Linked DNA regions of Canis lupus familiaris. The protein of the gene in region 3 purifies or fractionates together with the protein of the main gene of each other region. This does not show direct contact. Links are inferred from orthologs where the notes say so. Each region holds a gene or a part of one and is shown on either strand. Other genes may lie near its edges. The genes, in order: FYTTD1, SRSF7, NXF1, XPO1, NXT2 and RANGAP1.

Region 1 (3,500 bases), on a different chromosome or scaffold from region 3:
AGATGTTCTATTTTAGGCTCTGTCACATGTAACTGGAGAACAAGCACAAGTTCAATCTTATAAGATCCTAAGCTGCCCCTAGGTATCATTTATCTTAAAGCTCAGATGATAAACCCCATAAAAAGAAAGTTTTTCTGGTCCTTCATGGACCAGATCCTATTTCACCTTATCCATTAAACCACTGATTTTCTTAGCACAAAATCTATCTAAAGTCCTTTGGTACTACTGGAATTTCTTTCATGACATTTCTCAACTCCATGTTGTCTGTCTTATCTCTGCTACTAGAAATTCCTTGAAGTAAAAGATCACATCTCTAAAAACCCTAAGAACCTAGTCAGTTCAGGGCATTTATCATGTATTTAACATAGAACTAGCATAAACAAATACATTTCTGGCTCCTGTGAACTCTGAAATTAAAGCAAATGTTTAAAATGTGGTATGCTGAATAACATCTATAGGAATTTTTAAATATAAATCATTGGAATTAAATATTCATTTGCTATAGGTAAATATCTGTCACAAAATTTACTTGCTTGGGTTCCACTGTTTAAGGTATTATTAGAAGGGGTGCATGGGTGACTTGGTTGAGTGTACAATTCTTGGTTTCAGCTCAGGTCGTGATCTCATGGGTTGTGGAGTTGAGCCCTGGGTGAAATCCCTGGTGAGGCTTCCAGTCTGTGCTTAGCAGGGAGTTGGCCTGGGATTCTTCCCGCTGTCCCTCCCCCTACTCCCACATGCACACTCTTTCTAAAACAAATAGATAAATCTTTTAAAAAAATAGAAATGAAAATTATTAGAGAAGAATAAAATTCTTTGTAGAGTCTAACCTCAGTTACAGATATGTTTAGAGAGTATGAAGGCATATTAACTATTATATACATAGAACTAATTATAATCATGGAACCCACTGGTAATTATTTTTTACGTTTTTTAACATACAGGATAAAAGTCACCAAACGTTTTTTACGTGTGTAAAAAAGATCTAGTTTTTTAATTTGAACAAAGGTTCTTTTTTTTTTTATTTTTTTTAAATTTTTACTTATTTATGATAGTCACAGAGAGAGAGAGAAGCAGAGACACAGGCAGAAGGAGAAGCAGGCTCCATGCCGGGAGCCCGACGCGGGACTCGATCCCAGGACTCCAGGATCGCGCCCTGGGCCAAAGGCAGGCGCCAAACCACTGAGCCACCCAGGGATCCCCACAAAGGTTCATTCTAAAACACTGATATAACTGCTAAAAAAATTAATGAGTCATATACAATTAATAGGGTTCAGTAACCACCTTAAATCCATTTTGGAACAACATGGTTATAAATCAATCAATAAGCTTCCACAAAGTGCCAAAAAATACCTGTATATGTAGAGTTCCAAGATTATTATATCACATCTAAGGCACTCAATTCTGAGTGTTCCCTTTAGAGGATTTAACAGATCCTTAAGAGCCCTAGATGATAACACAAAGAGCCTGGAAGTATTTTCCATGCAGAATAGTCTCACATATTTAAAAAGTTCTCATATAGAAAAGAGAGTTTGCTTCCTGTAACTCTACAGAGTTAACAGGTAGGCACAATTTAATTTCAATTAAGAAAACTTTCTAGTAAATAGTTATCTCCAATAAAGGAGTTGTCTTGTAAAGTGGTATGCACTTTCATTGAATATATTTTATGCATGTGGGAGTTATGTAATTATCCACCAGACTATTAAATACCTAACTGGAAAGGAAATAAAACCTCTGCTTTGTAAAATCCCTTACAATACTGTAGCCCTAAATATAATTTATGCTATTTACATACAAAAGGAACTTTAAAAATGACTTAATGTTTTTAAATTTTTTTTTTTTTTATGATAGTCACAGAGAGAGAGAGAGAGAGAGAGAGGCAGAGACATAGGCAGAGGGAGAAGCAGGCTCCATGCACTGAGAGCCCGACGTAGGATTCGATCCCGGGTCTCCAAGATCGCGCCCTGGGCCAAAGGCAGGCGCCAAACCGCTGCGCCACCCAGGGATCCCGACTTAATGTTTTTAAAAAACAGGGTTATCACCTAATTAAAGCAACTGAAAATGCTTACCAGATTTCAAGATTAAACAAAAATCTGAGAAAATACAAATCACAAAGGGTACTAATATATTTCTTCCATATTTTAAGTATGTACTAAACATAGCATGCTATGAATCTACAAATAATAGCTCTTTCTTAAGTTTACTTGTAAAAATTACCAGAATTCTGTTGGATTCCCCATCGCACTCTCATCCTGAATTGCCGGGCACTGCTTTGCTGGAGTTTTCTATTTAGTCTCGGAAAATTCTGCTTCTTTCCTTCCTTTCTATTCAATTTGATGATATCATCTGTGATATACAAAATGTGATGATTATTAACTTACAACTTAACTCATTTTAACTTAATAACTCAATTAATTACTCAGCCTCATTTTCTAGTTGACAGATTTCTTACATCCCTAACTTCTTTGCTACTTTGAAAGCACTTTCGTAAGAGGATAATAATAAGATAAAAATTCAAATCAGCCAATATACTTTCAGCATTAAAGAAAAGTTTTATAGGAAAAGCTCAAATCAAGAGCTCAAAGCAAATCTACCAATTAATGAAGATTTCTATTTCTGTTATCCACCATATTTCTTTAATGCATATAAATAAGCAAAAGCCTATTTACAAAAATTACTCATATCTACTTTCCATAATCACAGAAGTGTCCAGTTTTTAAAGACGACCACCTTCCAATAAAACCATAGGCAGTAAAAATAATAATAATAATAATAATAAATCATTCAACTAAAAGAGTACATTTCTAAAGAAGTTCATTTCAATTCGGCAAATATTTATTGAGCATATGCTGTGTGCAATGAATGTATGTGGCAGGTTATGCTGTAATGAAAACAAACAAAAGTAGAGTATGGTCCTTATTCTCAGGTAAGTTTAAAATCATTGATGGAAACAAGTAAATAGCAGCTATGAAATAAAAAGCACATAATAAAGGTATAGCATAAAAAGAAAATAATTGGGTTCTTCACTTTTCTAGCAGAATATTCAGAGCTACCTTCCTTTCTGCCTTCTACACTCATTGTTTTCAACACTTTTAAACTCTCCCAAAGTAATTTACAAACATCACATTGCCCTAATACCACAGCACAACAATGTGAAAATCAGGAAACTAAACCAACTCCAGATTTCTATTTACAAATGTCAAAAGAAGATTACTAGAAGCCAAAAAATATTCATCTAAGAAATAGCCAAATACTTTGTCCACATCCCAACTTCAATATTAATTTTGATGATTGATAAAGCAAATAAACTGGTCAACTTAAAATCTCACAAAACTAATTAACTTCAATTATTTTTTCCAAATTGCTCTAAACACAAGAATCTAACAACTATATTAATATAATTAGTCTTTTCTGAAATAAAAGAGAGAATTATATATTATAGGAATCTTTCCTTACATATTACTACTCTACCTAACCCATCGGTAATTTTTAAGACTCTTAAT
Region 2 (4,245 bases), on a different chromosome or scaffold from region 3:
CTCACCTCCTTCCCCTGCTCCTGCTGCGTGAGCGGGAGTATCGCCTACCTCTGGATCTTGAATGTGATCTAGATCGTGACCTATTTTTTTAAGTCAGAGAAAAACAAAATGTTAGATGGTAACTCGTTTTTAGAGTTTGTGTGCCTCTGCTGAAATCAAATCTCAAAACTATTTAAATTTAGTGTCTCATTTGGAAATAAACTCTGGGCCTATTAGTTTTTTTTTTTTTTTTTTTTTTTACTACCTAAAAAAAGATTTGTTAAAAGCTGAATTACATCTTAGAATTACATAATATAAAACACTGTAATGTGTATTTAAAATAAACCTTGCAAGTTTGCAGGTCGACCCTCTTTGGCCCATGGTCTAGTAGATCTAGACGATCTAGAAGTATCTATAGCCGATCGCTGCATCTAGATGTTTTCTTCAATCTAACGACGATCAAACTGACAGCCAAATGAGCCAGGTGAGGCTTGATTGACGCAAGAAGATTTTTCTAGTTGGGAATGTGGTCAATCTGATGTTCCTCTTTCTAAACCGGAGGGGGCCCCAATTGTAAGCCAAATTTACTGTTACGGCGATCACCGTCTCAAATTTTCTGCCCTTTAAAGAATAAGGTGAAGCTAGGTGTAGATGACTCGAGGGGATCTGGCCTCTTATGCTGATCACCTCAAGGTCTAGGAGGATCTTAATTGTCGGATTTGCAAGGCGCCTCAGCATGATATCATAAGGCTCGTGACATTCTGAATCAAGGCGACTGACTCAAACGAAGAAACCTGAAAGGTTTTGACCAGGTTGATTATTAATATATTAACATTTGTTTAATTAAACAAAAATTGTAAAATACACCTGTACAATTAACATTCAAGTTTATAGAAAAATACTAGTTTCTGCCTTGCTAATAAAAAAATTACTCGATTAACTAGTATACCAACCATTCCTTTATTAAAATAAATACCTGCTTCGCCGCCGCCGGCTATAACGATGACAATCATAAGCATAATGTCCCTTTTCGCCACATTCATAGCATCTATCATTGGGATCAAAGGGACGTCGGGCAGGTGGTCTATCAAAACGAGATCTCCGAGGCATGCCTGTTGATAATTCAACTCTCACTCGGGAACCACAAATCACCCTACAAAAAAAGGCAACAAAATTCTAATGCTAAAAAAATAAACAATTCTAGATTTAGAGCTTTCCAACCATGCTTTTCCCTCACAAACTTCAGCTATCTTTATAAACCTTTCTAACTCCACCTTTGTGCCTCCTTCATATCTTTATCTTAAGTATATAGTCATGATTAGCTACTTAAGTCTCCTCTAGACTACAGAATCTATGCTTGTCACCTAGCTCACTACTCAATCCACAGGAATGTTCTAATAAACGTCAATTTCATAACCAACTCTTACTTACTTCCCATCCAGGCCTCGCACTGCATCTTCTGCATCTCTAGGATCTTCAAATTCCACAAAGGCAAATCCTGGAGGATTTCTCGCAATCCACACAGTTCTTAAAGGACCATAATAACTGAAAGCCCTTTCTAACTCTCCTTTGCCGGCACCGGTTCCCAGATTACCAACATACACCTTGGTTTCTGTTTAAAAACGCAAATAGAAGAATGAATGTTATGCAAAATTTTGCCTACGTCTGAGTGAATTTTGTGCCCCAAACAGACCATCCGTTAAGATTGTGCCAAGCACGTTCAATGCTTTATCAAGGATTTAATTTAGTCTTAAAGCCAGCGAAGCCCATACATTTCTGAAAAGCCAGGCGTGTGACAAAGTTCTTAACGTTCTAATAGGGAAACGACCTCCAAAACAGAAGCAGACACGTGGTAGGATATTCCGAGGCGTGGGGCGGGCTCCGCCCCGGCCCCGCCCCCGAGTCCCGGCAGCCCCGGGCGCGCGGGGAGCGCGCGGGCCGGCAGCGTCGGCGGCGGCGGCGGGCGGGCCCCGGCAGGGGCCGGACCGGGAGAGCGGGGCTGCGCCGGCTCTCGTCCTCCGCGGCAACCGCCCGAGGCGCAGGCTCGCCCAAGACTCCAGCTCCCCGCCCCAGAGCCATAAACCGCGCTCGAAAGAGCTAAAAGAGAAAAGAAACCAGCCGCCAGACGAAAAGATTAGGTCTCCATTCCCACTCAAGTTCGACCGACTGTCTGACGAGAATGCGCAGCTCGAAGCTGCCCCACTTCTGTCCGGTCTCAAATCCATCCTTGCTTTTAAGGCTGCGACCCGATCTGTCTGCTAAAGTGGCGGGAAAGCGCCAAGGAAATGCGCCACCATGGTCGTCAATGTGCGCAAAATGGCAGCCGGGAGCGGGGGGGTGGGGGGCGGGCGGGCGGCTTCCAGGAGGGCAACGGGGAAGCCGTGACCGTGGGCCTGCCGTGGGCTGTGGTTGAGACGAAAACGCCCGAGAAGGAATACGGAACCCACCCAGACTTGCACCCGCCATCCCCCGGCTGCCTCCGATACCCCGCCCCCGCGGCCTCCGGCTTCGTATGGTGTACGCCGAGGCCGCCATTACGCACGCGGAATAACCGTCTCCCAACCGCCGCGCCAACCCCACGGCCTCGCAGTACTCACTGCATCCGCAGCAACGCCCCTCACTGGGCCCTGGCCTCTTACCTCCTCCGTACCGCCCGTAACGCGACATGATGCTGGCCCGCGAGCTCGGCGCTTTCCGCTCGCAGTGCCCAGGGAGCGAGGAATACAAAAGCTGCGAAACCCAGTGAGTGGCCAACGGTCCCGGCGGCACTACGAGGAAGAGTCTGGGTTCGCGCTTATATACGCGGCGGCGGCTTCTCTCTGCGCATGCGTCATCTCGACGTTCTGCGCGGCACAAAGGAGCTGGGCGGAAACAGCGGAGGGGCGGCGCGGAGGGAACTGAAGGGGCTAAGACGCTGGGAACGGGCGGAGGGATACGTTTCCATGGGAACGCCAGACCTCGCCGGTAAACCCGTGGACTTCCCCGCCGCGTCCCGCCCCCTCCCCTCCCCTCCCCCTTTTCCTTCCTTCTCCCTCCCCCCTTTTATTTCCCCCCAGTCTAGGAACCCTCAGCTCAGGTAGTCTTACTGCAGGTACACTACACCGGCCTTACGAAAGGCTGTAAAATTTAACCGCTGATGTTGCAGCTGTCGCCGCCTTTCTGCGGGGGGACCTGGCTTAGACTGCTGCTCAGTCGTCTCCGGGGCTCATCAGAGGTAATCGGGAGTTTGGCCAGGGTGAGAGCTGCATAAACCCCTCCATTCTGAGTAGTGGTCACTGCGCCCTGGGCCTCAAAAGGAGTGCCGTGCCCAGGGACTGCACCGACCCTCCGGCCGCTTCAGAACCAATTTTCACCCACACCGTATGAGTTCTTGGACTCTGGGGCACAGAGGAATAGAGTTGTATTTCTTTTTACGGTTATTTTGAAACTGTGCAAAGCCCCTAAATCCTTAAAGCATTCTAGCTAGTGGCAGTTATGAAATTATTTGCATTTGAAGCACAGATTTATTTGTGCTTTCTTTCTAGTGCTTTCTGCTTTGAATTGTAGTAACACATCTCATCCACTAATACTCCTATCCTGAGGACTGGGACTTTAAGTCGTCTTCGAGTAACAGCCTTGCTGCTCAGCCAAACTCTATAGAAAATAAATGTGAACCCTTTCTTTAGATAGAATTGCTTAACATAAGTTCTGATTGTATTTTTATTAGGTATAGTTGACATACAATGTTATATTCATTTCACATGTACAGCATAGTGTTTTAACAATTCTTTGCATTACTGGATGTTCGCCCTAAGTGTAGTCACCACCTGTCACGCATACATTTTTATGGTATTATTGACTATATTTCCAATGCTATACTTTTCAGATTTGATTTTATACAATGTATTTTCCAAATGCCAAGTCTACAAATACAGATTTAACTCCTTTTTCACCAGCTACAAAAAAAAAAAAAAAAAGACATTACACTATATATAATAAATACTTGGAATATTTGAGTTGGAATTGCTTCACATAAAAGATGTAATCATTAGCTATTTGTATCTCTATGTTTTTCATCTGTAACTTCACGTGATGTATTTGGATGTGTGATGCGGACTATGGAAGACAGGAGATTTAGTTGGTGAATAAAATATGGATCCTCTCTTGACAATGCTACAAATTTATATACGTATTTTTTTCAGATGTATCAAATTATAGAAAGAATACATCCATTGCAAGAAAATTCTAGCAAGAAAATAGAAGTTCTATAGAATGTTATATTTATTC
Region 3 (3,500 bases):
CCAGCCTCTGAGCTCTGGGGAAAGAGGCCCCACTCCCCACTTCACCCGGGGCACCCAGAAACAACCGCCTTGAAGGCAGACGCTCTTCTTGCTGCCTGACCCGAGCGCCACAAGAGCAGCACTCCCAGCCCAGGCTTTAAGCCAGGACCTCCTTCCCCTCCCTGCCCCCCTTACCTTCCACCTACTCACCTGTGCAGCCCCGGGAGGAGGGAATGGGGTGGGAGCCCAGGGGCTCCGCTGCCTCAACAGGTATCCATCAGTTCTGCCCAGCCTGGCCATAGCCAAGACCAGAACACACCACAGGGATGGCACAGGATGTTGGGGCAGGGAAATGAGCAAGGTAGGGGGTCAGGAAGAGGTGAAGGAAGAAGATGGAGAAGGAGAAGAAGAGAAAGAGAGAAGGGAGGATGGGGCCAAGGCCAGGGAGAGATGGGGACACAGAGGAGGGGAGAGAGTAAAAAGAAAGAAAGCAAAGGCCAAAGGAGGCCTTAGGAAAAACAAGGAAGAAAAAAGGGAAGAGGACACCCGACACAGCCTTTTCCTTCAGCTGCCCCTTCTTTCCCTGGTCCAAGGTACAGACGGGAAACAAATTCTCGCTGCGGCCGGAGGGCAGTTGCTGTTGGCCAGGTCTCTGTCTGCTACCTGGGTCCCAATCTGAGCTGGGCGTGGGATGTGAAGCAGCCATGGGGGCAGGAGACCTCCCTCAGGAGGGGTGAGGGTTCAGGCCCCTGCAGAGTTGGGGGGGTGAGGGTCTGTGCCCCACCTCTGTTGGCCCCCAAGTTCTCTCCTGATGGCCCCTCTGCGACTGTGCCTGTCTTAGGTTGTTCCTTCCCTGAGGAATCTTACCCGTCTCTGGCTAACCAGCCATCCTCCGGGGCCAAGCAGGGTGACGTGAGGTGTGCGAGTGAGGGCGGGGCAGCGCCCCCAAGAGGGTCAGTGCTCTGTCTCCTCCGCAGTCTATGCCCCCGTGGCCTCCACGCCCAGCACCTGCCTTGGGCTTCCCTCGCCTGCCGGCGGGGCCCCAGCTCTGCTCACACAGCTTGGGGAACCCAGGTTTCTTCTCCAGGGAGGGCCCAGCTCACACAGCTCCAGGCAAGAGAGACAGAATGCATGGCACCAGCTCCGAGGAGGCCTCAACCTCAGCATGAGGGAGAAAGCCCAGGCAACGGTGGCCTTGGGCACGTGGACCGTGAGAAGAGAGTCCCTCTTGGCCAAACGGCAAGAGGGGCTAGCGCAGAACAAAGAAGGAAAGGCCCATCAACAGGAAGTCCCAGGGCAGAAAGGCTTTCTCAGCCCTGGGACAGCAGGCTCTTGCATAAGGCAGCTCCATGTATGGGGCAGATGACAGATACCCCATGGTCATGCCACAAAGCAGGAGATGCCCTTCCTGGAACAGGAGAGTAGGGAGACTCTAGAAAAGGCTGTGTTTGGGAAGAGGAAAGACCACAGAACAGCAAACAGGTAGTCAGGTGAGAAGGAAGGTAAGGAGACCTCGGGGCCAAACTGGGACACACAGACAGACGAAGGGAGGAGCATGTGATCCTCCCAAAGGACAGGTGGTTCCAGCTCAGGGCTGCACATCTCCTGCAGACGGGCACTGGTCAGGGTACATTAGCTCAGCCTCCCAGGGGGTGAAGGTCCCCAGGAGGGGAGACAGAGGCTACAACTGACCTGATGTAGGTGGACTGATCTCGGAAGGTGTCGCACAGCGGGTTTCCGTCAAGCCACAGCTCTTCCAGCTTCAGCCCTTTTACCTTGTCCAGTTCCCTCTCAGATTTCAACTGCGGAGAGGAGGGCAGAGAGAGTGGGCAGGAGACCCCAATGAGGGAGCCGAGCCAGTGAGATCCCCACACCGTGCCTTCTGCTGTCAGCAGGCGAGCCCTCTGCACCCTCTACTCACCGCCCCACACAACATAACCAGACCCTCAGGTCTCACCTCATTTCCGGAGAGGTTGAGGATCTTCAGGTTGGGTGCTTTCTGCACAAGGCTGGACATGTCATCCAGCCTGTAGAGCCTATTGTTGCTCAAGTTCAAGGACAAGAGCTACAGGCAGAGAAAGGATTAGAGGAAGCACTGCCAACAAAGGATTCGGAGACACATCTGCCTCCTAGCCCCATTCTACCTGTCCCACTCTGCCTCCTCCCATCTCTAAGCAGGACAAAAGCCTCACCTCAGGGATATTCTCCTCAATGATTCGCAGCGTAGCCGCCATACAGCTCCTGCGATTCAGGACAACATCGATGTTCTGGGCCACCAAGTCTTCAGGCAGCATAAAGGAAAGAGAGGAAGTCTGAGAGGACTTTCCCACGTCAGAGTTCATACCAAACTATTCTCAAACTTTCCCCGCCCGACAGACCCCCCTCTGCCTCCACCTCTCTGAGAATGACCGCTGCTAGTCATACCTGGGTCTGAACGGAGACCCTTGAGGTCAAGTGCTTGTTGGGAACCATCGTATCGTTTGCTCATGATCAGCTACAGGAGAAGGAAAAGGGGTCAGCGGTCACTCGGGTTGTGCAGAGGGGTTGTGGATGTGAGAACTGGTGGAACTAGAGAGGAGACACATGACGTGAGCCTGCCTCACCTTTAGTTGCTCTACTTGTTCTGGCTTCAGTTCGTTCTGTACAGAATGGGGTGGGACAGAGGAGTTGATGATGATAGATATCTGCAGGGAAGACACAGAGAGCAAGGTGAATTCTGGGAAAGCCTAAGCCACAGGACCACGACCCAACTCCAGCCAAGCCAGGCCCTTTACACACACCCTTCGGTTTTCCTGATCCAAAATCTTATAGTTGACAGCTTTCAATGCAGAGGCGGTACTGGCATCCTCCACAAAAAACTGGGCCCGTGTGTTTTCATAGTGAAACTGCACAAAGAGGAAGAAACAAGAGCATGAGACTGGGAGCCTGGGGCCCCTGGTCCAGCTGGCCCCTCACCTTCCTTGGTGCCCAGTCAGCCACCTGGGCCTTATCTCACCTCAATGGGGGTGAAAGGGACACTGCACTTGCTCTGAATCACACTCAGGAGCCATGACTTGTCATATTTTCTCCCATAGGGAATCTAGATGAGAGAGAAGGAATATCATGTAATAAAGGCTGACCAACAGACTCAACCTAGTGCTCCTTTCACACCTTCTGCCAACTTCTATGACATTTCCTAAAGGAAGGGCCAGTTAAAAGTTTTTTTTTTTTTTACTCAAGTCAGACACAGATTCCTTACCTTCCTTTCTGCCCATTTAAACTTAGTATTTTTCAAGAAAATAGAACTATGTGGTTCCTTTTTTAAATTTAAGATTTCATTTATTTATTTATTTAACACAGAGAGAGAGAGAGAGAGAGAGAGAGAGCGCGCGCGCTCAATCAGGGGGAGGGGCAGGCAGAGTGAGAGGGAGAAGCAGGCTCCCTGCTGGGGTTTGATCCGAAGACCCTTGGATCATGACCTGAGATGAAGGCAGATGCTTAACCGACTGAGCCACCCAGGTTCCCCAAACTATTTGGTTCTA
Region 4 (3,500 bases), on a different chromosome or scaffold from region 3:
TTGCGGGTGATGAAAATGTTTTAGAATAGAGGACACTTAATAATTCTGTGACTCTCACTACAGTTGTACACTCTAAAAACAGTTTTATATTATATAGATTATACCTCAGTTTCTAAACATCTTTAGACTTTTCATCTCAGAAATGTCTGAAGACCAATTAGGAATTGAATTGTGATTATCAATTATTGATCTGGCATTATGCAGAAAACAGAACAAATTCAGCTTGTAATTCAAAATTAACATATTTTATGCATGGACAATAGGTAAGAAGAGGTCACAAGTACAAACATCTTATTTATATTAAAAGACTATTTTCTTCATGAGAGACACAGAGAGGGGCAGAGACATAGGCAGAGGCAAAAGCAGGCTCCCCAACTGAAGGCAAATGGTCAACCACTGTGCCACCCAGGCATCCCTATTTATTTTTTTTAAAAAAAGGTTTTACTTACTTCAGAGAGAGGAGAGAGAGGGGAGAGAGAGAGAGAGAGAGAGAGAGAGAGAGAGAGAGAGAAGACCCAGACAAGCATGCGGGGAGCGGGGAGAGACACACGACAGAGGAAGAAAGATACTTTTAAAAAGGATTTATTGGGCAGCCCAGGGGGCTCAGCGGTTTAGTGCTGCCTTCAGCCCAGGGCGTGATCCTGGAGACCTAGGATTGAGTCCCAGGTCAGGCTCCCTGCATGGAGCCTGCTTCTCCCTCTGCCTGGGTCTCTGCGTCTCTCTGTCTCTCATGAATAAATAAAATATTTTAAAAAATAAAAAGGATTTATTTAGGAGTGATGCATGCACAAGAGTTGGAGGTGGGGTAGAGGGAGAGAGACAAGCAGGCAGGGCTCTATCCCAGGATCCCGTGCTGAAGGCAGACTCTTAGCCAGCCACCCAAGTGCCCAAAGGTACAGACATTTAAAAAAGAAAAGGTAGACATTTCACAACAAAGGCATTTTTATAACAAGGCATTTTTGAAACAATTTTCATTATTTAAGAATTTCAGAAGCCAAAGGCTCCACAAAGCCTACCTCCATGAGTGTTTCCCTGAGATTTAACCTTTTCTCTATAAGTTGACCATGTTCCTTAAGAAAGGTGCAGAGAAACAAACTGAGATTTTGAATAAAGTTCTGTTCATCATCTTTTCCATTTGAGTATGCAAGTCGAATATTGGTATTTAAAGGAAGCATCTACAAGTTTAAACAGGGACCATTAGTCTGCATCTTAAAAAAAATCAACAAAAGATATTACTTTTAAGTACCAAGATTTCACCACCTTGTTACTGATATTATAAGCCAGACTTAGATTATTCTTCACTAGGAATCCATTGTCAGTTTACACTATAGCATTTTTGCATTCTAGTGGTTTTTAAAAATGTTACAAACAGTAAGATTTCACAAAGTATCTTTTCATTTTTTCCCTGTATCAGACTTTTCCTTCCTTAGTGTTATTAAAAAACAAGAACATTTAAGTAATTCATTTGGATCACTAAGGTAATGTATTATGGTTAACACTCTAAACAATTTCATATATACCTAATCAAGACTGTTAATGTACAATCTCTTCATTTCGGAGTCAAAGTCAGAAACAAGAGGTAATATTAAACCCCAGGTTTCCAAGCTTCTAAAAAGTCTATGTAAATAAATTCCTCGGATACTTCCAGAATCTCTATTTCAAGGAATTTCCAAATGTTCATTAGAATGTCTGCCTAATCTTATTTTAATAAATATACACTGTATAGCGATCAAATGAAGTAAAAAATATACAATCACAATAGTTATGATTAGTTATGACAGAACAGTTCAACTCCAACTCAAATTTTTCTAAGGCATTAAAATGGTTTGCTCAGATCTTAAGAGTGTTGTATTACCTGTTTTAGCTGCATCATTGTCAGTGTAAAGAGCGTTACAAATTGTTCCTCGTATTGGCTTACACTTACACCAGCAATCTCAGTGAGGCACTTCAGAGAGACATTTCGAAACATTGGAACATTCAGGAACTATTTTAAAATTTTAAAAAAAGGAAGCAAAAAATAAATGGCCTGTAATATTTTACTTAACAATTAAGAAAAATAAAGGTTTTAACAATCAGGATCATAAGATGGGAAAAAAATCAGATCAATCCATGGATATTTTGTTTTGCACATATATAGAGGAAATTTCATTATCTACCCAACAAACAGTAAATGCTTTAGGAAAAAACTGAGCCTCTTCTGATCTGTCTTCAGACATCTAAACACAAAGTCACTTAGTAATTTTCCCAGGACCCATTTTAGGACTTTTAACGACATCATATTTTATGTATAGTCTAAAAAAGACCCAAGATTTATAACTGCTCAGGATTTTAGGAGATGGGCGATACACATACGATTAACAAATGTATGGTAAAACTGGCTCTTTCATATTCTATTTGTTAAGAAAGTATGAAAGTGGCATACCACTTATGGATGGCAATTTGGTAAGCATCAAAAAGCCTTAAATGGATTATGTTCATTGATCTGACAATTATATGTATAAACATTTATGCAAAATAGACAGGTACATAAATGCTGTATTACTTAGTTTCCTCTTGTACCACTGACAATAGCAAAGTTATATATATACTTATGTATACACTGTCAACAGTAAACTGTCTCCAATATTGTAAATTCATATATTAGAATAATGTATTACCTTATCAAGCCCTAAACTACAAAACCTCAAATGTTAAGTTATAATAATCTTCTCAGTTAAGCATACAAATTTATTCCTTCTATTTGCCAAGAAAGCATCTGGAAAGATAATACAACCTATTGATAAGCAGTCGTCTCTGGATGAACAAGTATTAAGAGTTTACACAGGTATTGCATGCTGCTGCTTTAAAACAGAAACAAAAACAGGAAAGAAACCAGACCTTCCATTTTATAGCCTTAACTTACCTTACTGTGACCTATATAGCAAACTAAAATCAAATCCCTTAATAGCTGTTCACAAGGAATTCCTGAGAGTTTGACACCATTACACAGATTAACTGAAACTAAAGAAAAGTTCTTCTAAGCAGTTTCTCATATTAGACACAACATTGGTAGGTTATGCTTATAAATGCAAGCTTTTCTAGAGCAAAGACCATTAGAAATTAAAAATATATGGAACTATCCAGTGATAAGAACTGAGATGTATTCACTATACCTTATAAATTAACGTGCTGATTAACTTGGTCTCAAAAATATATCCCAGTGGAATCCAATTCAGAAATCTAAGCAATGTTTCCAAAGTTGCATGTACAAGTGGAGCATTTTGGGAATTTTCCTATAACAAAAACATACTTGTAAATAATCCTCTTCATATAATTAAGTGTTACTTTTAAAAAACGGTATCAAAAGCACTTACCATCACAAACTGACACAGCTGAAAAATTTGGGAGAACTCATTGCACATGCTAAAAAAAAAGAATTGATCAGTTTAGAAGACAGAGAAATTATTTACATACTAACAAAATTACAAAAGATTTCAGTAATTTGGTCATTAAAAACTCCA
Region 5 (4,268 bases), on a different chromosome or scaffold from region 3:
AAATAAGCATAGTTTAGGGACAATGAGTGGCTCAGTGGTTGAGCATATGCCTTTGGCTCAGAGCATGATCCCAGGGTCCCGAGATTGAGTCCTGCATTGGGCTCCCCACAGGGAGCCTGCTTCTCCCTGTATATGTCTCTGCCTCTCTCTCTGTGTGTCTCTCATGAATAAATAAATAAAACCTTTTTTTAAAAAGTGTAGTTTAAGCACATACGTGACTAGCAGAGTGTCTAAGAGAAAAGACTTTGGGATTACACAGCTCTGGGTTGAAATTCTAGCTCCACTAGCTATGTCATCCTAGCCAATTTACTTAACCTCTTTGAATTGCAGTTTGAGTTCTTAAAATTTTAGATAATAATTTGTCTCTCTCCAGGGGTCATGAGGATTGAATGAGATTATAATAAACACCAGACACCTATTCTGAGCTCTCAATTAATAAGCATAATTACCTATAAAGCAGTAAACACAAGTCATTTTTGGCAAACAGTACTAGTTAACTTTGCCGATGTTGGTGAACAATGAGAGAGAAGTCTGGAATGGCAAATTGAGACTAGACCAAGGTAGGTCTTAAAAGATTAGAAACATTTTGGAAAAATGAGAAGTGAGAATATTTGCATATAGAGGAGGGAAAGGGAGAAGAGGATAAGGGGAGAGGAGAGGAGAGGGGAGGGATGGAAAGGATAGTGGAAAGGAGATGGGTAGGGGAGCAGAGTAGAAGGGAGGGGGAGGGGTGGGTACTGGCAGGGAGGGGGAGGGATGGAAAGGGGAGGGGAATGGAAGGGAGAGGAGGTAGGGAAGGGGAGGAGGGGAAGAGTCGAAGAAAGGGAGGGCGCAGTGGAAGGTATGGTGGAGGGGAGCAGAGCAGAAGAGGGGGTGGGGACTGGCAGGGAGAGGGGGAGGGAAGGGGAGGGAAGGGGAGGATATGGGAGGGGTCAGCGGAAGGGAGGGGGCAGCAGAAGGGAGGGGGAGAGGAGGTGAGGAAGGGGGGAGAGAGAGAGAGAGGTTGCCTAAAAAATGAGCCAAATTGAGCAAGTTACTTGGAATTCCTCTGTAGTTCATAAATGTTCTGTTTATTGTCTAGAACTCCCATTACATTGTGAACGTTATGTGGAGAACCTTGCATAACGTGGTAGTCCATAGTAAGTGTTCAATATTTTTTGAACAAACAAGTGAATTACGATGATGGGGGTGCTAAAAATAGAGTCCAAGAATTCAAGCATAGATGACTGAAAGAATACAGAAGATTGGAATTGCAGAGGAATTAAGGAGTTTAAATTTTGGACTCTTAAGAGTTCGAGAAACCTGTAAAGCATTTCTGCTGTTCATATCTAGTGAAATTCCATAAGCGGAACTGGACATCGACGGTGGGGGCTGGAGATGTGTCGTGAAGATTTATTAGCATATGAATAGCAGTTGAAGTCACGTGGGAGGAAGGAGGTTTTTAAATAAGAGACACCCCCGGAAGTGACGCCAGTAAGAAGGGCGCAGGGGAAGAAAGTCAGTCTGCCTGCAGTTGAAGGTAGTTTGAAGAGCGGAGCGCTGTGGGGGGCAAATAAGATTCAAATATGAGAAGATTCAGAAGAGACTGGGCTCATAGAAGGGACTCAGGAAGATACCAAAGAAGGAGAGAATATTTTGATGAGCCAGAAACCAGCTATTCGAGGTAAGACTATAGCGATAGCTAATTGATTTAACCATGCAGAAGCTGTTGGTGCCTTTGAGGTGAACGGTTTTAAAGGATGCTGGAGAGTGAAATCAGGTTGTAGTGGTAGTTAAATTGCTTGAGCTTGAACCCCAATTAGTTTGTGACTCTCAGTGGGTTCCTTAATCACAATGTGCCTTAGCTATAAACTGGAGATGGTTACCTCATAGCATTATTAAAGTAATAAGTGAATATCGATTAAAATGCTTAGAAAATTACATTGCTCGTGGTCACCACGCAGTAAAATTTTAGTTGCAGTTAGAAAGTAGGCTGCAGAAGGTGGTGAATGGCAAGGTTTGCTAATCTTCATTTGGAGTCTGAGACCAAAATTTGGGCATGAAGGAACTTGATAAGCCTTTTCTTATGAATAGCAGAAAACCAAATCATGAATAATTTTAGGAATGCTGCTGAGACCGTTGGGATTCGATTTAGTGAGGCTAGATTCTTCCAGAATGTTCCAGAACTTTAAACCGTTCTTTGCCAGTCATGCGCAGTGTGGTGGCATCCCTCCCCAAACTCCACCCCTTTTTCCTATAGTCTACAGTTCCAGTAGGTGTCTCCTCGCGTTTCTCGTTGGTCTTCTGCTATCCTTGGCCCCGCCTCCTGGCGCAAAGAAGTCCCCCTATTGGGCCATTTAGATTTTTTTTTTCTTGTCCCGCTTCGTGAGGGAAATGGATACTTTTACTTGGAGTATCTAGTTTACGAAAGCAGAGGATTTTTTTCTTCCCAACCAAGTAGATAAATAGCAACCAAATGAATAGAGGAGGCAGATGGGAGGGTACGGTCGGAACTGAAGGAAGTGTACTTAAGGTTGGAACATCGGGGTGCTTTTAACAACGGACCGAGCTACTTCCGGGAGAGAATGGGCGGGTAGAGAATTCGGCGTTTGGCGGGTTTAGCTGTCTTCCTAAATTTTGGTCCTGCAGCAGCCGAGGGCGCCCGACACGTGAAGAGGTAGTGACGCCGCCACTGCCGGAACAAGCTGCTTCGGGGTCCCTCATGGCCACGTCTGTGGTGAGTGCTGGGGCCACTGCAGGGTGCCGAGGCGCCGCGGCTCGGGCAGCTGAGGGGAGGGGCGCTGGGGCGGGCAGCCTGGTGGTCACGTGGTCCCGTGGCGAATCAGGGCCGGGCCCGCTGGGCTCCGGGGCGGGGCCCGCTTTCTGTAGCCCCCTTGGGTCGCGAGCCCACAGATTCCCCCGCCGCCCCCACCCCTTGGCGTCCGTGCAGTCCCTTTCGATTGCTGCCAAGGACCCCGAGATGAGAGTTGGCGGGAAGCGGAAATGTTGGGGTCTGTTTATGGCTTGCGATTTTTTATTCTCTATCATCTCCCTCTCTGAATGACTTTCGATATCCTGACAGGGAAATGAAACGGATTCTTAATTCAAATAATAGGCTGGGCTCGGCGAATGGCTGGGAGAAAGGTACCTATTAAATCATCCGGCAGAAGAAAAACCCCAACAGCATTTCTCTCCTTCGGTTCGACAATTCTTTACAAATGCCGGTGAATTTTTCCGTCATGTGTAGAAGTTTCCTAACTATATAGTTTTTCAAGCATTTCATCGAACTTCGTTTTATACTCCATTTTTTCCCCCACTGAGTAACTCTTTGTCCTGAGTTCTGGCTTAAAGAGGGAATTCAGCACTTCCACCACCACCCTGCCCTTTATAAGGTTCAGACCACATCGTTTTTTTAAGGTGAATGTTTTGTAAGATATTGGAAGCGTAAGGTACTTCCAGTACCAGTTACCAAGCAAACATAAATTCATATTTGAAATGAGAAAAAAATTCACTATTGAGGGATGAGTATGTCCTAAACACATGTACTTTAAAATGGGGGAAAATAAAAAAACTGGAAACTTTTGAACCCTGACCTTTATAATGTCCAAATATCGATGGAAGAATGTGAACTGTGTATGCAGCTACAAAGTGATTGAAATACGTGACCAGCTTTTGTTCGTTTTCTCTTTGTTAGGAGTTGGAGGGGTGGTAATGTGCACTTCTGAATTTTTTCTTCTAGGACTTTAAAACTCACGTAGATCAGGCATGTAGAGCTGCTGAGGAATTTGTCAATATTTACTATGAGACAATGGACAAAAGAAGACGGGTGAGCCTTATAGACTCTACTACACTTTGTTAAGTACCAGGGTTTTTTGTTTTGCTTTTTGTCTTTTTGTAGCCATCCAGTCATCTGACTTGCATAAGTGATAACTGTGGGCTTGTTCTTTAAAAGTGCATTTTTTAAGGGAAGGATTGGTTATGATACTCTGGAAATGTGGGCTCTGGAGTCCCTCTCTCAGCTTTGCATTTACCTAACTCTGTGACCTTGGGTAAATTGTTAATCTCTCTTATTCTCTAGTTTTAGGGAGAGTAAATGGGAATTAACTTACTGCACTTGACATGGGGTTTGACATATATTTACTCAAATATGTTACCTTTTTTAACGCTGTCATTCAGCCAGTATACTTAAAACAGTATCAGTGCTAGTGAAGGAGTGTGCCATTACAGGGAATGTTCCTTGAACTGTTTAATTTCATATATTATTAATTTCTGATTAAAGCTCAAAGCTG
Region 6 (4,121 bases), on a different chromosome or scaffold from region 3:
ACTATGCCAGCTCACTGCCAGCCAAGGTGGAGGCCCTTTCTGGGCCCAGGGTCCAGCTGCCAGACTCCTCCACACTACATTCAAGGCTGTCTGCACTGGGCTCCCTATGGCACCCTGATTCCTTCTCGCCCAAGCCCACCCTATGTGTCTCAGCTCCTCCCCTCACATGATACTCCCTGCGTCTACTGCCCTCTCCCCTACAATGACAGTTCAACCACCTTATCCATGGGGACTTCCGGGGCCCTCCTAAACCAGAAATGATCCCTTTCCCTTGCCGTATTTCCCACAGCTTTCTGTTCACGTTGCTCAGAGTATGCTTCACCTTCTACCCCCTGGCAGTTGAGTACCTCCTTCCTACTCCATCTTAGGAGGTCCTCAGAGGCCGGGGCTATAAGCTGGGCATCCCTGGTGACCAAGAAAATGGAGGCAACATGTCCAGCCTGAGCTGGTTAATTAGTGATCTGCACAGATTTTAAAGCTAGACAAGCTTGAGCTCTAATCCTAGCTCCATTACCTGTATCTGTGCCCTTAGGCAAGTCCTATTATTTCCCAGGGCTTCACTTTTCCAATCTACAAAATGGGGATGAGACCTACCTCAAGGACTTTTGTGAGGATAAACTTCCTTAAGTCAGGCACTTAAAGAATGCCTGACTCAGCATTCAGGGAATGGAATTTAATAGCAAATTCAGGGGATCCCTGGGTGGCTGAGCGGTTTAGCACCTGCCTTTGGCCCAGGGCATGATCCTGGAATCCCAGGATCGAGTCCCATCAAGCATCGAGCTCCTTGCATGGAGCCTGCTTCTCCCTCTACCTGTGTCTCTGCCTCTCCCTCTCCCTCTCTGTCTCTCGTGAATAAATAAAATCTTAAAAAAAGGGGGATCCCTGGGTGGCTCAGCGGTTTAACGCCTGCCTTTGGCCCGGGGCGCGATCCTGGGGCCCTGGGATCAAGTCCCACATCGGCTCCCGGCATAGAGCCTGCTTCTCCCTCCTCCTGTGTCTCTGCCTCTCTCCCTCTCTCTCTCTCTCTCTCTCTCATGAATACATAATATTTTTTTTTTTTTTTAAATCTTAAAAAAAAAAAAGCAAATTCATCTTTACTGAACTGAGCTGTCTACTGACAAACACAAGAATAGGGACTTAGCTGGACCTCTGTTAAAATCCCAGCTCTGCTACTTACCAGCTAGATGACCTTGGACAAGTTAGGTCTTCCAAATCTCTTCTCCTTATTTATAAAATGGTAACATTTCTACATCCCCCCCTCAGGGATGACGTGTGATCGGAAGTGATAACAGCACAGGGAGGGACTCTGTAAATGTTAAGGCCCTTCAGAGACATCAGGAATGTGCACTGCCATGCTCCTGACAACCTGAGAACTCCAGTTTCTGAGGCAGGGCAGGTGAGCAAGCTTGCCTGCAATCCATGACAACCGGGCAAGTCCATACCAGTTTCCCTGGTTGGGCCAGAACCTCAAGAGTCCTTGCAAGTGCTGGCGTAGGTGCCTTCACTTCCAAACGTCAGGGGATTCAGGGTTGACCAGTGTTAGCCATGCTTTGGCCAGGGATGAACAGACAAGGCCTGCATTCTGCTTCCTAATTCCCTACAGTCCTGGTTCCTAGGACAAGAACATCCCTCCCTCTTCCAGGGGCATTCAGTTGCACGGACCAGACCTCCCAAGAGGGCCTTACCTCTGGGAAAGCCAACCAGTATTCCCAAAACCAGTCTGGGATCATAGTGGTAAAGGTGGGAAGTAAGAAGTCAGGGACTATACCCTGACACTGCTGTTGTGATCCTTTGTTGTTTACTATCTCCTCCCACTAAGACATAAAGTGGCCCTTTCCACCAGCCAACCTAAGCTGTCACCAGCAAGGATGGCCTCCAAAAACATGATGACTAGCAGGGAAGCCTATATATGTCCTTGTGGGCACATCTTTGAGCCTCACTCTAAAAGGGACCCAAAACTATCTCACAGAGCTACTAGGTAACAAACAACGTGATAATGTAGCTAAACAAGCTGGAACAAGAGTCATTGGCACACACTCTTTCCTCCCCTGGGCCAGCCCAAGCAGGAACTCACCATCTTCCGCAGTGTTGAGTTTGAGGCTCTTGCCCTTGAAACTCAGCTGACCCCCAGCCACCTGGGTTTTGGCAAGTGTCTCTGCTAGCTTGGCAATGTCTTCAGAGGCCATGCTGGCCACGTTGCTGGGCTCCCCCGGAAATCTGCAAACTGAGCAGGATGAAGTTTCATTAAGAGACAGGAGTCTCCTGGGGCCCCCTGGTTGGGGAGGGCCGGGTAGGACATCAGCCCTTTCAGGGGCTTAACACCCCCTCCTCCATGGAGACTCCAACAGCTAAACTACTGGGAGAAATGAAAACACTATTAGGTAAGGAACAATTCTAGAAAGGTGGAGAAAGTGGCAAGAGTAGTAAAATCATGTTTTAGCCCCTGAAGGATTACTAGCTTATTTTAACTCCTCGCCTGCCCCAATGGCCCCAGCTGGAACACCAAGCACAGCCATCTGAGCTGCCCATCTTCTGGGCTCCCAGTGAATGGTAGTTGGGCCCAGACCAACAGCTGCAATGCAAAGAGCCTACTCCAGGCACACACCTGCCTGATCATCCTGGCTGCTCTCTGTTTGAGGGTCCCATTCCTCAAACAGGACTAGGATGGCTAAGGGATCCAGGTTATCCATCCCGCGAAATGCCCCACCTCCCACGCTGGCATGTCTCTGGGGATGGGGCACAGGTGTCAGCCCACTGCCCGTCTGGTTTCAACCTTAGCCAGAAGACTGGGCAATCCATGGTGGCCAAACCTCAGGGGTTCCTAGGAGACCAGAGGTCTCTACATCACAACAGCCACCATCACAATAGACCAAGGGCAGAGCTGCTGAAGAAAGGAGCTTCTGGCCTGGAAGAACTCGGCAGATTGGCAGAAAGACCACTCCATTTCCCTAAAGAGGAAATGGCAGGTCATCAGGGGAGACCAAGGATGATGGATATGGAAGACAGAACGAGGAAGGGCCCACAAAAACTCCTTACCCAGAACATGTCCTTCCCCAATCTATTCGTCCTCAAGATACAACTGTGATGGCTCCCCAATCCTCCAACTCCCCCCAGGCTTCCTCTGGGCTCCTATAGCCAGCCTCCCACCTCCTTCTCCTTATCTTAACCCTGATCACCCTGGCTTGCCAATTTTTACAAATATGTATGAATTATTCTCCTAGATAAGAAGGCACCACTCATTCATTCAATAAACATTTATTGGGTATTACTATGTTCTGGACGTTGCTCTAGATACCAGAACCAAGCAGTGAATGAAGCAAAAATACTGCCCTCTCTCTTTTTTATAAGATTTTATTTTTATTTATTTTTTAAGATTTTATTTTTTTAAGTAATCTCTATGCCCAACATGGGTCACAAACCCACAACTCTGAGATCGAGTCACATGTTCTACCAAATGAGCTAGCTGGGCACCTCTTAAAACATGTGTTCTAAATAAGACATGTGGAATCTTATTTGTGTAAGTGATAAGAAAAACAAACGGAGAAGGGGGTAAGGAGTTTTAAGGGGGTTGCGATTTATTTATTTATAAAGATTTTATTTATTCATGAGAGACATAGAAAGAGAGGCAGAGACGTAGGCAGAGGGAGAAGCAGGCTCCCTGTGGGAAGCCTGATGTGGGACTCGATCCCAGGACGTTGGGATCCTGGCATCACGCCCTGAGCCAAAGGCAGACGCTCAACCACTGAGCCACTCAGGTGCCCCGAGGGGGTTGCGATTTAAAACAGATTGGTCCAAAAATAAATAAATAAATAAAAATAAAAATAAAAATAAAACAGATTGGTTAGAGGGGCACCTGATGGCTCAGTTGGTTAAGTGTTCAACTATTGATCTCAGCTCTGGACTTGATATCAGGGTCATAAGTTCAAGCCCCATGCTGGGCTCCAGGATGGGCATAGTACCTAGGTTAAAAACAAACAAACAGGGCAGCCAGGGTGGCTCAGGGGGTTTAGCACTGCCTTCAGCCCAGGGCATGATCCTGGGGTCCCAGGATCAAGTCCCACATTGGGCTCCCTGCATGGAGCCTGTTTATCCCTTTGCCTTGTCTCTGCCTCTCTCTCTCT

What was found.
Region 1: the proteins of NXF1 (region 3) and FYTTD1 purify together in Homo sapiens (affinity purification with western blotting; 3 studies listed by BioGRID and IntAct, with this or other methods). This does not show direct contact. The link is inferred for Canis lupus familiaris from reciprocal best matches to the Homo sapiens genes NXF1 and FYTTD1.
Region 2: the proteins of NXF1 (region 3) and SRSF7 purify together in Homo sapiens (affinity purification with western blotting; 3 studies listed by BioGRID and IntAct, with this or other methods). This does not show direct contact. The link is inferred for Canis lupus familiaris from reciprocal best matches to the Homo sapiens genes NXF1 and SRSF7.
Region 4: the proteins of NXF1 (region 3) and XPO1 purify together in Homo sapiens (affinity purification with mass spectrometry; 3 studies listed by BioGRID and IntAct, with this or other methods). This does not show direct contact. The link is inferred for Canis lupus familiaris from reciprocal best matches to the Homo sapiens genes NXF1 and XPO1.
Region 5: the proteins of NXF1 (region 3) and NXT2 purify together in Homo sapiens (co-immunoprecipitation; 5 studies listed by BioGRID and IntAct, counting the BioPlex papers as one, with this or other methods). This does not show direct contact. The link is inferred for Canis lupus familiaris from reciprocal best matches to the Homo sapiens genes NXF1 and NXT2.
Region 6: the proteins of NXF1 (region 3) and RANGAP1 purify together in Homo sapiens (co-immunoprecipitation; 3 studies listed by BioGRID and IntAct, with this or other methods). This does not show direct contact. The link is inferred for Canis lupus familiaris from reciprocal best matches to the Homo sapiens genes NXF1 and RANGAP1.

What each region holds. Positions count from the first base shown.
Region 1 is NC_049254.1:29,634,533-29,638,032, forward strand, and holds part of FYTTD1 (UAP56-interacting factor), read right to left. Parts: intron 2,344-3,500; coding exon 2,215-2,343; intron 1-2,214. UniProt on the Homo sapiens protein: Required for mRNA export from the nucleus to the cytoplasm. Acts as an adapter that uses the DDX39B/UAP56-NFX1 pathway to ensure efficient mRNA export and delivering to the nuclear pore.
Region 2 is NC_049238.1:30,974,215-30,978,459, forward strand, and holds the start of SRSF7 (serine/arginine-rich splicing factor 7), read right to left. Parts: upstream 2,801-4,245; 5' UTR 2,647-2,800; coding exon 2,619-2,646; exon of another isoform or gene 2,360-2,618; intron 1,592-2,359; coding exon 1,411-1,591; intron 1,133-1,410; coding exon 956-1,132; intron 81-955; coding exon 6-80; intron 1-5.
Region 3 is NC_049239.1:54,407,311-54,410,810, reverse strand, and holds part of NXF1 (nuclear RNA export factor 1), read right to left. Parts: intron 3,059-3,500; coding exon 2,975-3,058; intron 2,865-2,974; coding exon 2,760-2,864; intron 2,664-2,759; coding exon 2,583-2,663; intron 2,474-2,582; coding exon 2,404-2,473; intron 2,261-2,403; coding exon 2,172-2,260; intron 2,045-2,171; coding exon 1,937-2,044; intron 1,782-1,936; coding exon 1,672-1,781; intron 1-1,671.
Region 4 is NC_049231.1:62,845,991-62,849,490, forward strand, and holds part of XPO1 (exportin-1), read right to left. Parts: intron 3,403-3,500; coding exon 3,354-3,402; intron 3,273-3,353; coding exon 3,153-3,272; intron 1,985-3,152; coding exon 1,856-1,984; intron 1,176-1,855; coding exon 1,017-1,175; intron 1-1,016. UniProt on the Homo sapiens protein: Mediates the nuclear export of cellular proteins (cargos) bearing a leucine-rich nuclear export signal (NES) and of RNAs.
Region 5 is NC_049260.1:83,436,372-83,440,639, forward strand, and holds the start of NXT2 (NTF2-related export protein 2), read left to right. Parts: upstream 1-1,468; 5' UTR 1,469-1,565; coding exon 1,566-1,663; intron 1,664-2,494; exon of another isoform or gene 2,495-2,512; intron 2,513-2,628; coding exon 2,629-2,716; intron 2,717-2,868; exon of another isoform or gene 2,869-2,990; intron 2,991-3,104; exon of another isoform or gene 3,105-3,108; coding exon of another isoform or gene 3,109-3,123; intron 3,124-3,718; coding exon 3,719-3,805; intron 3,806-4,268. UniProt on the Homo sapiens protein: Regulator of protein export for NES-containing proteins. Also plays a role in mRNA nuclear export.
Region 6 is NC_049231.1:24,911,638-24,915,758, reverse strand, and holds the start of RANGAP1 (ran GTPase-activating protein 1), read right to left. Parts: upstream 2,801-4,121; 5' UTR 2,691-2,800; coding exon 2,606-2,690; intron 2,225-2,605; coding exon 2,075-2,224; intron 1-2,074. UniProt on the Homo sapiens protein: GTPase activator for RAN. Converts cytoplasmic GTP-bound RAN to GDP-bound RAN, which is essential for RAN-mediated nuclear import and export. Mediates dissociation of cargo from nuclear export complexes containing XPO1, RAN and RANBP2 after nuclear export.